Linked DNA regions of Oryzias latipes. Each later gene encodes a partner of the first gene's protein in a complex. Links are inferred from orthologs where the notes say so. Each region holds a gene or a part of one and is shown in the gene's direction. Other genes may lie near its edges.

What was found. Proteins that work in one complex are often made in the same cells at the same time.
Region 2: ropporin-1-like protein (region 1) and DPY30 domain-containing protein 1 share a complex: the UniProt entries of both Homo sapiens proteins name them as parts of the axonemal radial spoke complex. The link is inferred for Oryzias latipes from reciprocal best matches to the Homo sapiens genes ROPN1L and DYDC1.

What each region holds. Positions count from the first base shown.
Region 1 is NC_019878.2:13,557,675-13,562,555, reverse strand, and holds the start of ropporin-1-like protein, read left to right. Parts: upstream 1-1,849; 5' UTR 1,850-2,002; intron 2,003-2,262; 5' UTR 2,263-2,302; coding exon 2,303-2,433; intron 2,434-4,881. UniProt on the Homo sapiens protein: Functions as part of axonemal radial spoke complexes that play an important part in the motility of sperm and cilia. Important for male fertility.
Region 2 is NC_019877.2:16,026,000-16,031,117, reverse strand, and holds the start of DPY30 domain-containing protein 1, read left to right. Parts: upstream 1-1,920; 5' UTR 1,921-1,988; exon of another isoform or gene 1,989-2,048; intron 2,049-2,107; 5' UTR 2,108-2,131; coding exon 2,132-2,281; intron 2,282-2,857; coding exon 2,858-2,977; intron 2,978-4,736; coding exon 4,737-4,931; intron 4,932-5,038; coding exon 5,039-5,050; 3' UTR 5,051-5,118. UniProt on the Homo sapiens protein: Functions as part of axonemal radial spoke complexes that play an important part in the motility of sperm and cilia. Plays a crucial role during acrosome biogenesis.

The sequences.
Region 1 (4,881 bases):
AATTAGTGCAGCCCACTGAGACAACTGTTTTGTAATATTGGGCTATATAAATAAAACTGAGTTGAATTCCAGTTCTTTAAATTGATGCATCAGATCACACAATTGTGGCCTTTAGAATATAGACACACACTTTTTATCTACGTACTTATAGTTACACTAAAGAAAAACCTTCAGATCAGTAGTGAACTGTGCCAAAGAATAATGCATGTTCAGTTTAACCCTTGTACTATCTTAGATGACCCCACCCTTGCATTGATGTGTTCTCCCTACCATGATAAAGGTGGAAAGATTTCATGTAATCCACCAGTGAAGATCACAAATCATTGAAGATAAAAAGGTTCAGAGCACTGTCTAGTGCAGGGGTCGGGAACCTAAGGCTCGCGAGCCATATATGGCTCTTTTGATGGTCACATGTGGCTCGCAGACAAATCTTTAATTCAAATTTTTTTTCTTCATTAGACCAGTCCTTCTCGTGCGCGATGCGATGGCAGAGGCGCGCAGTAGTAGCGGTGCTTAGAGAGACAAATCTGCGCCAGCACTAGTCTTCTTCCACTTTCGGCTTCTCCCATCAGGGGTCATGGTAAATTTGGCAATGTTTTACGCCGGATGCCCTTCCTGACGCAACCTTCTCAAACTGGGCTTGGAACCAGCAGAGGTAGAGAAGGGAACAGGGAGCAGCCCGGAGTCGAACTCGGGTTTCACGGATGGAAGGCGCCGCAAACCAGCATGAGCTAAACTGGCTCCTGCGCCAGCACTAGTATAAGTTTAAAATTGTCTATTAATTCACAGAGTTTGTACCACCCGGAAACCTGTGAATTGCCGTGCCTAAAACTGCGCGCTCCCGTCTCTGAGAAAGAGCGCGCAGTTGCGGGGACGGGATGTGTGAGGGAGAAAGCAGAGGGTGGGGCTGAGGTGTTGTGGGGACAGGCAGCAGGTGAATCGCGCAGGGATTGTAAATAGGTAAAACCCACTGCCTGTCACTCACTGCAGCGTGTGAGTGTGTGTTTGGCTCCAGGTCCGCATGTGAGCAGTCTGTCTCACATCTACAAAACATTCATACCAACCTAAGATCACGTTTAAAGTCTCAACGCCTGCATGAAGCAGAAACTCACCACGTAAACCAGACTAGACCATCAGCAAAACTACCACGAGAAATACTCATCATTTATTAGAAACAGCATAACAATGTTATTAAAAAGAATCCACAGACTTATTGTACTTTAAAAAGGTTGAAATTACATCAAATGCACACATTCACTTGTATTTTAGTTTTAAACATATTGTCGCGGACTGAGTTGGATGGCTGTTGGGCCGCGTTAAAAGTTCTGGAGTTCATTGACCGCATCAAGCAGAGAGCTGATTGGCTCTCAGTTCTGTCGCTCAGCCTGTTGTTAGGTAGTTTGGACCAATGGGGTTCAGCTATGGGCCGAATAAGGGAAAGGGGAGGGCTGCAGCGGGAGCAGGGGAATATAAAGTTGGGAGACGCGCTCTCGTCTCGTCTCGGCGGGAGAGATTCAGGAGTTGCTGAATTAATTGTTCGGCGTTTGTCGCGGTCTGCAGTAACCCGAATAAAGAACCTTAAAAGAGGTTAAGTCTCCGTGCCTCAGTGTGGGAAAGGGACACTACATTATTGTATGGCTCTTTCGAAATTACATTTCAAAATATGTGGCGTTTATGGCTCTCTTGGCCAAAAAGGTTCCCGACCCCTGGTCTAGTGGGTCTAGATGACCCAACTCCCAATGGTAAAGTGCCTAGGATAGCACAAGGGTCAATGACATTCTGTAGTAACATTTCTAAAACAGCAGGGGGCGATATGCACATGCGGCTCCATTGACCTCAGCGACAGAAGAAGAATTCTGTTGCCATGCGACGGTAATATACAACTGTCAGTTTACGGACACGAATTGTGGCGTAAATCAGAAGGACAGCAATTACGATTTTTTGGTGAACATTTTAAGGCATTTTTTGCTTATTACTATTTACAGTCTACATATTTTTCCAGGTAACGTAATATGATTGTTTTTCTCAGCACTATAAATAATTATCACTTAATTTAAACGTATGTGTGATGCACGCACATGCTAAATGTTGCAAAGATGTCGTGACGTAGTCAGTAAGGGATTTCTGCATTTTGTTAACACTTCAATTATTGTTTGTTTAATGCAATGTTTTTATTTGGAAGGGAAATAAATGGGTTATTCATACCAAACTACTAAACTAACTAAAAATTACTAATACAATTAATTTCTTATTTTTGTTTAGTACTTGCTGGCCGACAAACTACAGTGCACGTATTTCAGCCATGCCCCTTCCAGACACACTGTACTGTGCCGAGCAGATCAACATTCCACCAGAACTACCAGATATCCTCAAAAATTTCGCCAAAGCAGCCATCCGAACGCAGCCCATGGACTTGCTTGCCTGGAGTGCAGCGTGAGTTTCTTCTTCTTTCTCTTTCGGCTTTTCCCATCAGGGGTCGCCACAGCGAATCATCCTTTTCCACCTCACTCTATCATGGACATCTTCTACCCTAACATTAGCCAACTTCATGTCCTCTGTTAAGACATCCATGTATCTCCTCTTTGGCCGTCCTCTCGCCCTCCTGCCAGGCAGCTCCATCTCCAACATCCTTCTACCAATATATCCACTATCCCTCCTCTGAACATGTCCAAACCATCTCAGTCTGGCTTCTCTGACTTTGTCCCTAACACAGACAACATGAGCCGTCCCTCTGATGTACTCGTTCCTTATCCTGTCTAACCTGGTCACTCCTAAGGAGAACCTCAACATCTTCATCTCCGCTACCTCCATCTCAGCCTCTTGTCTCTGTCTCACTGCTACCGTCTCTAACCCATAGAGCAGAGCTGGTCTCACCACTGTCTTGTACACCTTTCCTTTGAGTCTTGCTGACACTCTTCTGTCACACAACACTCCTGACACTTTCCTCCACCCGCTCCAACCTGCCTGCACTCGCCTCTTCACCTCTTTTCCACACTCCCCATCACACTGAACTGTTGACCCCAAATACTTAAACTCCTGCACCTTCTTCACCTCATCCCCCTGTAACCTAACGCTTCTACCTTGATCCCTCTCGTTCAGACACATGTATTCTGTCTTACTACGACTGACCTTCATGCCTCTTCTTTCCAGAGCAAACCTCCACCTCTCTAGCTGTTCCTCCACCTGCTCTCTACTCTAACTGCAAATTACAATGTCATCCGCAAACATCATTGTCCAGGGAGATTCCTGTCTTACCTCGTCTGTCAGCCTGTCCATCAGCATAGCAAACAAAAAAGGACTCAAAGCTGATCCTTGGTGTAGTCCCACCTCCACCTTGAACTCCTCTGTCTGACCTACAGCACATCTCACCACCGTCATACTTCTCTCATACATGTCCTGAACTACTCTGACATACTTCTCTGCCACTCCAGACGACCTCATACAGTACCACAGCTCCTCCCTCGGCACCCTGTCATACGCCTTCTCTAAATCTACGAACACACAATGCAGCTCCTTCTGACCTTCTCTGTACTTTTCCATCAACATTCTCAAAGCAAAAATGGCATCAGTGGTGCTCTTACGGGGCATGAAACCATACTGCTGCTCACAAATCTCCACCTTCTTCCTAAGCCTGGCTTCCACTACTCTTTCCCACAGCTTCATTGTGTGGCTCATCAACTTTATTCCTCTATAGTTGCTGCAGTTCTGCGTGTCACCCTTGTTCTTAAAGATCGGAACCAGAACGCTTCTCCTCCATTCCTCAGGCATCTTCTCACTCTCTAAAATCCTATTGAACAACCTTGTTAGAAATCCCACTGCTGTCTCTCCTAGGCACTTCCATACCTCCACAGGTACGTCATCAGGACCAACGGCCTTTCCGCTCTTCATCCTTTTCAGAGCCTTCCTAACCTCATCCTTTTCAATCTCTGCTACTTCCTGCTCCACAACAACCACATCTTCCTCCCTTCTTTCCCTGTCATTTTCCACGTTCATCAGCTCCTCAAAATACTCCTTCCATCTTTTTTGTACACTCTCCTGAGTTGTTAGCACCTTTCCATCTCTGTCCTTAATCACCCTTATCTGTTGCACGTCCTTCCCATCTCTGTCTCTCTGTCTGGCTAGCCTGTACAAGTCCTTCTCTCCTTCCTTTGTGTCTAACCTGTCATATAGCTCATCGTAAGCCTTCTGTTTGGCCTTTGCCACCTCTCTCTTCACTCTACGCTGCGCTTCCTTGTACTCCTGTCTACCTTCCTCAGTCCTTTCTACATCCCACTTCCTTTTAGCCAACCTCTTCCTCTGGACGCATTCCTGTACTTCCTCATTCCACCACCAAGTCTCTTTACCGTCTTTCCTCTTTCCAGATGACACACCTAGCACCTTCCTACCTGTTTCCCTGATAATTTCTGCTGTAGTTTCCCAGTCATCTGGAAGCTCATCCTGACCACCCAGGACCTGTCTCAACTTCTGCCTAAATTCCTCACAAGTTTCTTCATTCTGTAGCTTCCACCACTTGGTCTTCTTTTCTGTTTTCCCTCTCTTCTTCTTCCTGACCTCCAGAGTCATTTTACACACCACCATGCGGTGCTGTCTGGCTACACTCTCTCCTACCACCACTTTGCAGTCGTTAACCTCTCTCAAATGACCTCGTCTACATAGGATGTAGTCCACCTGAGTACTCCTACCTCCACTTCTGTATGTCACTCTATGTTCCTCTCTCTTCTGGAAGTAAGTGTTGACTACAGCCATTTCCATCCTCTTCGCAAAGTCCACCACCATCTGTCCCTCCAGATTCCTTTCCTTCACACCAAACCTGCCCATCACCTCCTCATCACCTCTGTTGCCCTCACCAACATGTCCATTAAAGTCTGCTCCAATAACAAC
Region 2 (5,118 bases), on another chromosome or scaffold:
GAAGGTTAAAATAAAGACAGTTGGACCACACTCCAGCACCGCATGAGGGAGGCTGCCTCCAGGATCGCCTCGGCCCCACTGCACCGGTGGGTAGCCACGACGACCACCACCAAGGGAGATCTCTAATCCAAACCCTCACCAGGAGTACCTGCTCAGGGCCCAAATTCACACAAACACACCACAACCCAAACAGTGATTAAAAGAAAATACAAAACAGAAGAGGTGCAACTGAGCAGGACACCACTAATTTGTAGGCCGGAAATGGGGGGGGGGGGGAAATCCCCCTTACACAATACTACACATGGCACCCACCAGCTACCGTAAGGATAAAGGGAGGAGGCAGCCACCTCCAGCCAGGTCCAACCACCAAGAGACTAAAATGAGCAAACAGTTTAAAAAAATGGATAAGAGCAAGGGTGTCAAGCTTGATTTAAACATTAAAAACACTAAGCAAAACAGCAGTGGCAACTCTGCTGGAAAAAGAAAAATAAGTTAGTTCTCCCTGGGACAAATACATGTTTACAAACCCTTATGTTACCGCTCATGCCCCAGGGTCAGAACTCATGCCACCACCTGTTAATATAAATAGAATTTAAAATGTTGCAAACTCAAATGCTTAAAAAACTTTTGTAAAAGGACTCAAATGATTAAGCTTTAGCTTAAAAAAAAAAAAAAAAAAAAAAAAAAAAAAAAAAAAGCCCACATGTCAAGCTCACCCACCAAGGCCAAACCAGCATCTAGGTGGAACTCACAGCTGCTATTTATCAGCCTCATGAGCCAATCACAGCTCAACAGACAGGTGCTGGCCATGAATATTAACCTATGGAACACCACGAGGGACAAACTACCACCCACAGCCCTGTCTGTCATATAACGATAAAACAGGGATAAAGAGGGAGTTTCCAACTGAGGTCTGTTTCTAACAGTTTGTTTAAAACAAGGTTTTTTTTTATAATGAGACTGCCACTCTGTAAATAACAGAACCAAAAAAAAATCCAAACAATTGCAAAAATCCCAGTGCAAGAAATTGTAATGTAATATGGAGGGGAAAAAGATGAAAAATATATATAAGACATTCTAGACATGTATCTTTCTCAGTTATTATAAGTGGCAATTTCTCCCATTTTTCTACTTAAACATATTACCAAATGGCCCACTTTTTAAGGACAGAACAGTTTATCATAACAGTAGATAAAGCCATTGACTGTACAATAGGACATTATGTTTTAATATATCTATTATGCAGTCAGTAAGACTAACAGGGTCTGCGCCACCTAGTGGTAAAAATTTCGTAAAAATGCACAAATCACATTTTTCTTTGAGTGTGAATATAGAATCTTCCAACAATTTTATTTCTGCTTTTATTAAATAACTATGTAGTAGCATCTGCACCATTTAGATTAAGATAACTATTAGTTTTATGAATTCCTTTTTTAACATAGTCTTTTGAATTATTCCTCCCCCAATTTCTGACATTCTGTGACTGATGTCTCTTTCTGCTTCATAACACATTGAAGCAAAACTTGTAAAGATGCAAAAGAATTTTAATATTGTTTTATTGAGTTTAACTACTGGAAAGCAATTTAAAACACATCTCAAAATGATCACTTTCTCGTCAAAATATTTAATCTGTTTCACAAATACTATTTTGTGCGTCTGTGTATGGGTGTGTGTATGAATGACAATGAGGTTTTTTCACAAATATTTCTTTTTGTCTGTAGTTTTTTTTGGGGGTGTTATTAATATAATTGAGGATTATTATTATTATTATTATTATTATTATTATTATTATTATTATTATTATTATAAAAATCATCATCACCATCATCATATTTATAGTAGTAATAACAATGCCTGAAACAACCAATGGTTGCATTATAGAAATGACATCGAATACAAAGCGGAACTAAAAAACGGTTGGGAGACTTTAAACTGTGTGGGACCGTTACCACGGAGATGCAACCGTCCGCATAAAACAGTAAAATACGGTAATTTCCGTGTTAATTTTGGCTAATTTGTGCAGGTTTTATCCATAAAATCGCTTTCAGGTCATTTTTGTTCGTCATTATTGCCTTAATAGCTCCGAGCCTCCATATTTGCTCTGTAGATAAACAATCAGAAAACGTGTAGCATGATGGATTCGGAGTATCTTAATAAACATCTGGGGAAATGTTTGGCTGAAGGACTTGCTGAAGTGGTTGAACGGAAACCCGTGGACCCTATCCTTTATTTGGCCCACTGGCTGTACAAGTATAACTCAAATACGCTGTACGAGAAGAAGGTGAGTCGTTTTGTTGTTTTCACCAGCAGGGGGCACTAAAGGATGCAAACACAAAAGTTGTTGATTTACAGTGTTTTTAAGCATTACGTGGTTTACTTTTCCGTGTTTTCCATTTACAAAACGCTATAAAAACATAAAGTGATTGCATATATCATAATTTTTTTGAAACGTTGTCTTGCAAATGCAGTGCTGAATTAGAAACTATTAGAAAAGTGTGTAAACACACCAACCATAGTGTCATTTTTTTTTTAAAATGATGGATCTAGATTTTGCACTCCAGCTGCTTCTGATTATACCCATGTTGTTGCATGCCGTCAAACAGGTTTTAAGAGGATAACAGTGTTAGAGCACGTAAACTCATTATGCTGCAGGATGTAAAATAAGTAGGGCCTCAACAACAAAGACTCACCTTTTACCTTTAACACAGAAACTGTCTGTACCTCTACTGACACACAGCTGAGCCCTACTTAAAACAAAATGAAAGTTTAAACATTTTATGGTTTATATAAGATGTATACTTGTAAACTTTAGACTTGTAAGCTTAGATTTGTTCCTGTATCACCTTTGTATTTGCAGAAGAAGGCAAGTCTGGCTCTGCTGGATCAAGATCAGGAAAAAAGCAGCCAAGAAGCATCACATCAGGAAAATCTCACAGAAGAGGAGCAGATCAGTAATGCATCAAAAGGCACAGAGAAAGTACTTTCTCACTTTCTATTGCTAACTTAAAAGTATTTGATTTTAAACATCCTGAATGCATAGCTGACATTTTTAAAGACCTACTCTAACCATCTTTTGATCTATTTTCACAGAATTCCCAGTGGTCTTGTAATTCAAATTCAACTTTACTTGTGCACCACTTTTTCGACTACAAAGCCTCTCAAAGTGCTTTCCATAATAAAATAGATAATTGTAAGATAAAAAACAGTAGTTAAAATAGCAAACATAGTAAAAATAATAATGATAAAATAAAATTAACAACATTAAAACACATACAGACCCAAAACATACACATCCCACAGGTACAATCAAAATGAAGCGCATCAATTGCTGATAAAATTTATAAAATCTAATGAAAACATGTTGACAAGTAAAAACTACATAAAGGCTTTACTAAAAAAATGAGTTTTAATTTTTTTCTTAAAAACCTCCACAGTGGATGAAGCCCTCACCTGCCTGAGGAGACGTTCCACATGGAAGGCCCACAGTACTGAAATCAGGCCTCGTCGTGGGTTTTTGTTCTGACTTTTGGGACCACCAGCACACCTCCACCTGTGGATCTAGGAGGGTCATAAACTAAAAGTAAATCTAATAAAAAAATGAGGGGCCAACTCCATTTAAACTTTTAAAAACAAATGAAAAGAACTTTAGAATCAATCCTAAAGCTGACTGGGACCCAGTGGAAAGATTTCAAAATATTTCTTTATTTTTTTTCTTTAGCACTGCAATAGCCTGGTTTGTTTAGTCACAGGAACAATTCAAGCTGGCCATCTCACCATTTGCAGGAAACGTTCCCAGCTAGGTTAATTCACAGCTTTGCTGGGCTCAGGTGAACGTCGCGTCTGCGACTATGATTGTGCCGTATCAATCAATTATGAAGATTTTAGTCAAAAATCTAAAATCTGTGGTTTTCCGGGACATAGTTTCTACAGAGCAGTAGTAGTTCATCAGAAATATGCCTCTGATTCGTGGGTGGTTTGACCCCTTCCCCCCTTACCGGTACCAGTATTTTGAAACCCTCTCCCGTTAGCTTACAGCCCCTCACACCCACCTAACATGACTGGTGCAACAGAAATGGTGAGCAATACCGGAGCTGTTCAGATGTACAGTTTTGAACCACATGCCAGCTTGGACGAAGAAAACGCCGACGTACCTGGATACATAACAAATATGATCTTTTTCAAACTGCATTTTTTTGTTTGCTCCCAATTAACAACAATTTGAAAAAAGAGGTACTTAAAAATACAATTTAGAGCTTAACTTTCTTTTCATATTATGTCCGCCATCATGACATCTTTTGAATATCAGGCCATTGTTTTTAACAACATGTTAAAAACACAGTTTTCATCAGAGTGGGTCTTTAAAGGCCTAAAACTTTAACCCCCCTCTGAGGAGCCACAGATTAGCTCAGACACTAGAGACAGACGCTGAGACAGACAGCACTATTCAATAGTTAAGCATCAGGAGGCAAATGGGCAGCGCATGAGGGAGGCTGCTGATAAAATCGACTCCAGATGAGTCACGCACACTGCAGAGACAGAATTAAGGAATCTACTCCAGCGTTACAGGCAGGATCTGCACATTGATTCTTAAAAAATGCTGTATAATACAAGTTTGAAATACATTGCAGTCTGCTTTAATAAAACAAATGCTTTTAATAGTTCTTATGTTGAGCTAAAAGTCCTAAAACTCTTCAAAAAATGTGTTTTTTAAATGTAATTTCTTTACTTTTTCTTAGACTGATGATGTGGAAACTGAGAAACTTGAAGATGTCATCCGGTCCTCGTCAGTGCTCCAGAGTGAAGATGCTCAACCCGATGAGACAATTCACCATGAAAAAAAAGAGGAAGACATAACTGACCGCAACCATGAAGAAAAGGAGGAAGAGATGAGAGAAATCAAAGCAAGTCCATCTCCTATCGGTCTAGAAAAGGTAAGTATTTGTTGTTTTTCTCAAATATTTGGTACATCAAAATGTGTGTTCAAAAAGTACAGAAAGGAGCAAACGTTTGCTGGTATTTACTGGACACTTTATTGCAGGAGGCTGCATGATGGAAATTTTGGACCAGTAAGTCATTGGAAGGAACCAGAAAGTCATCAGAAGACTGCCGGAATATGAC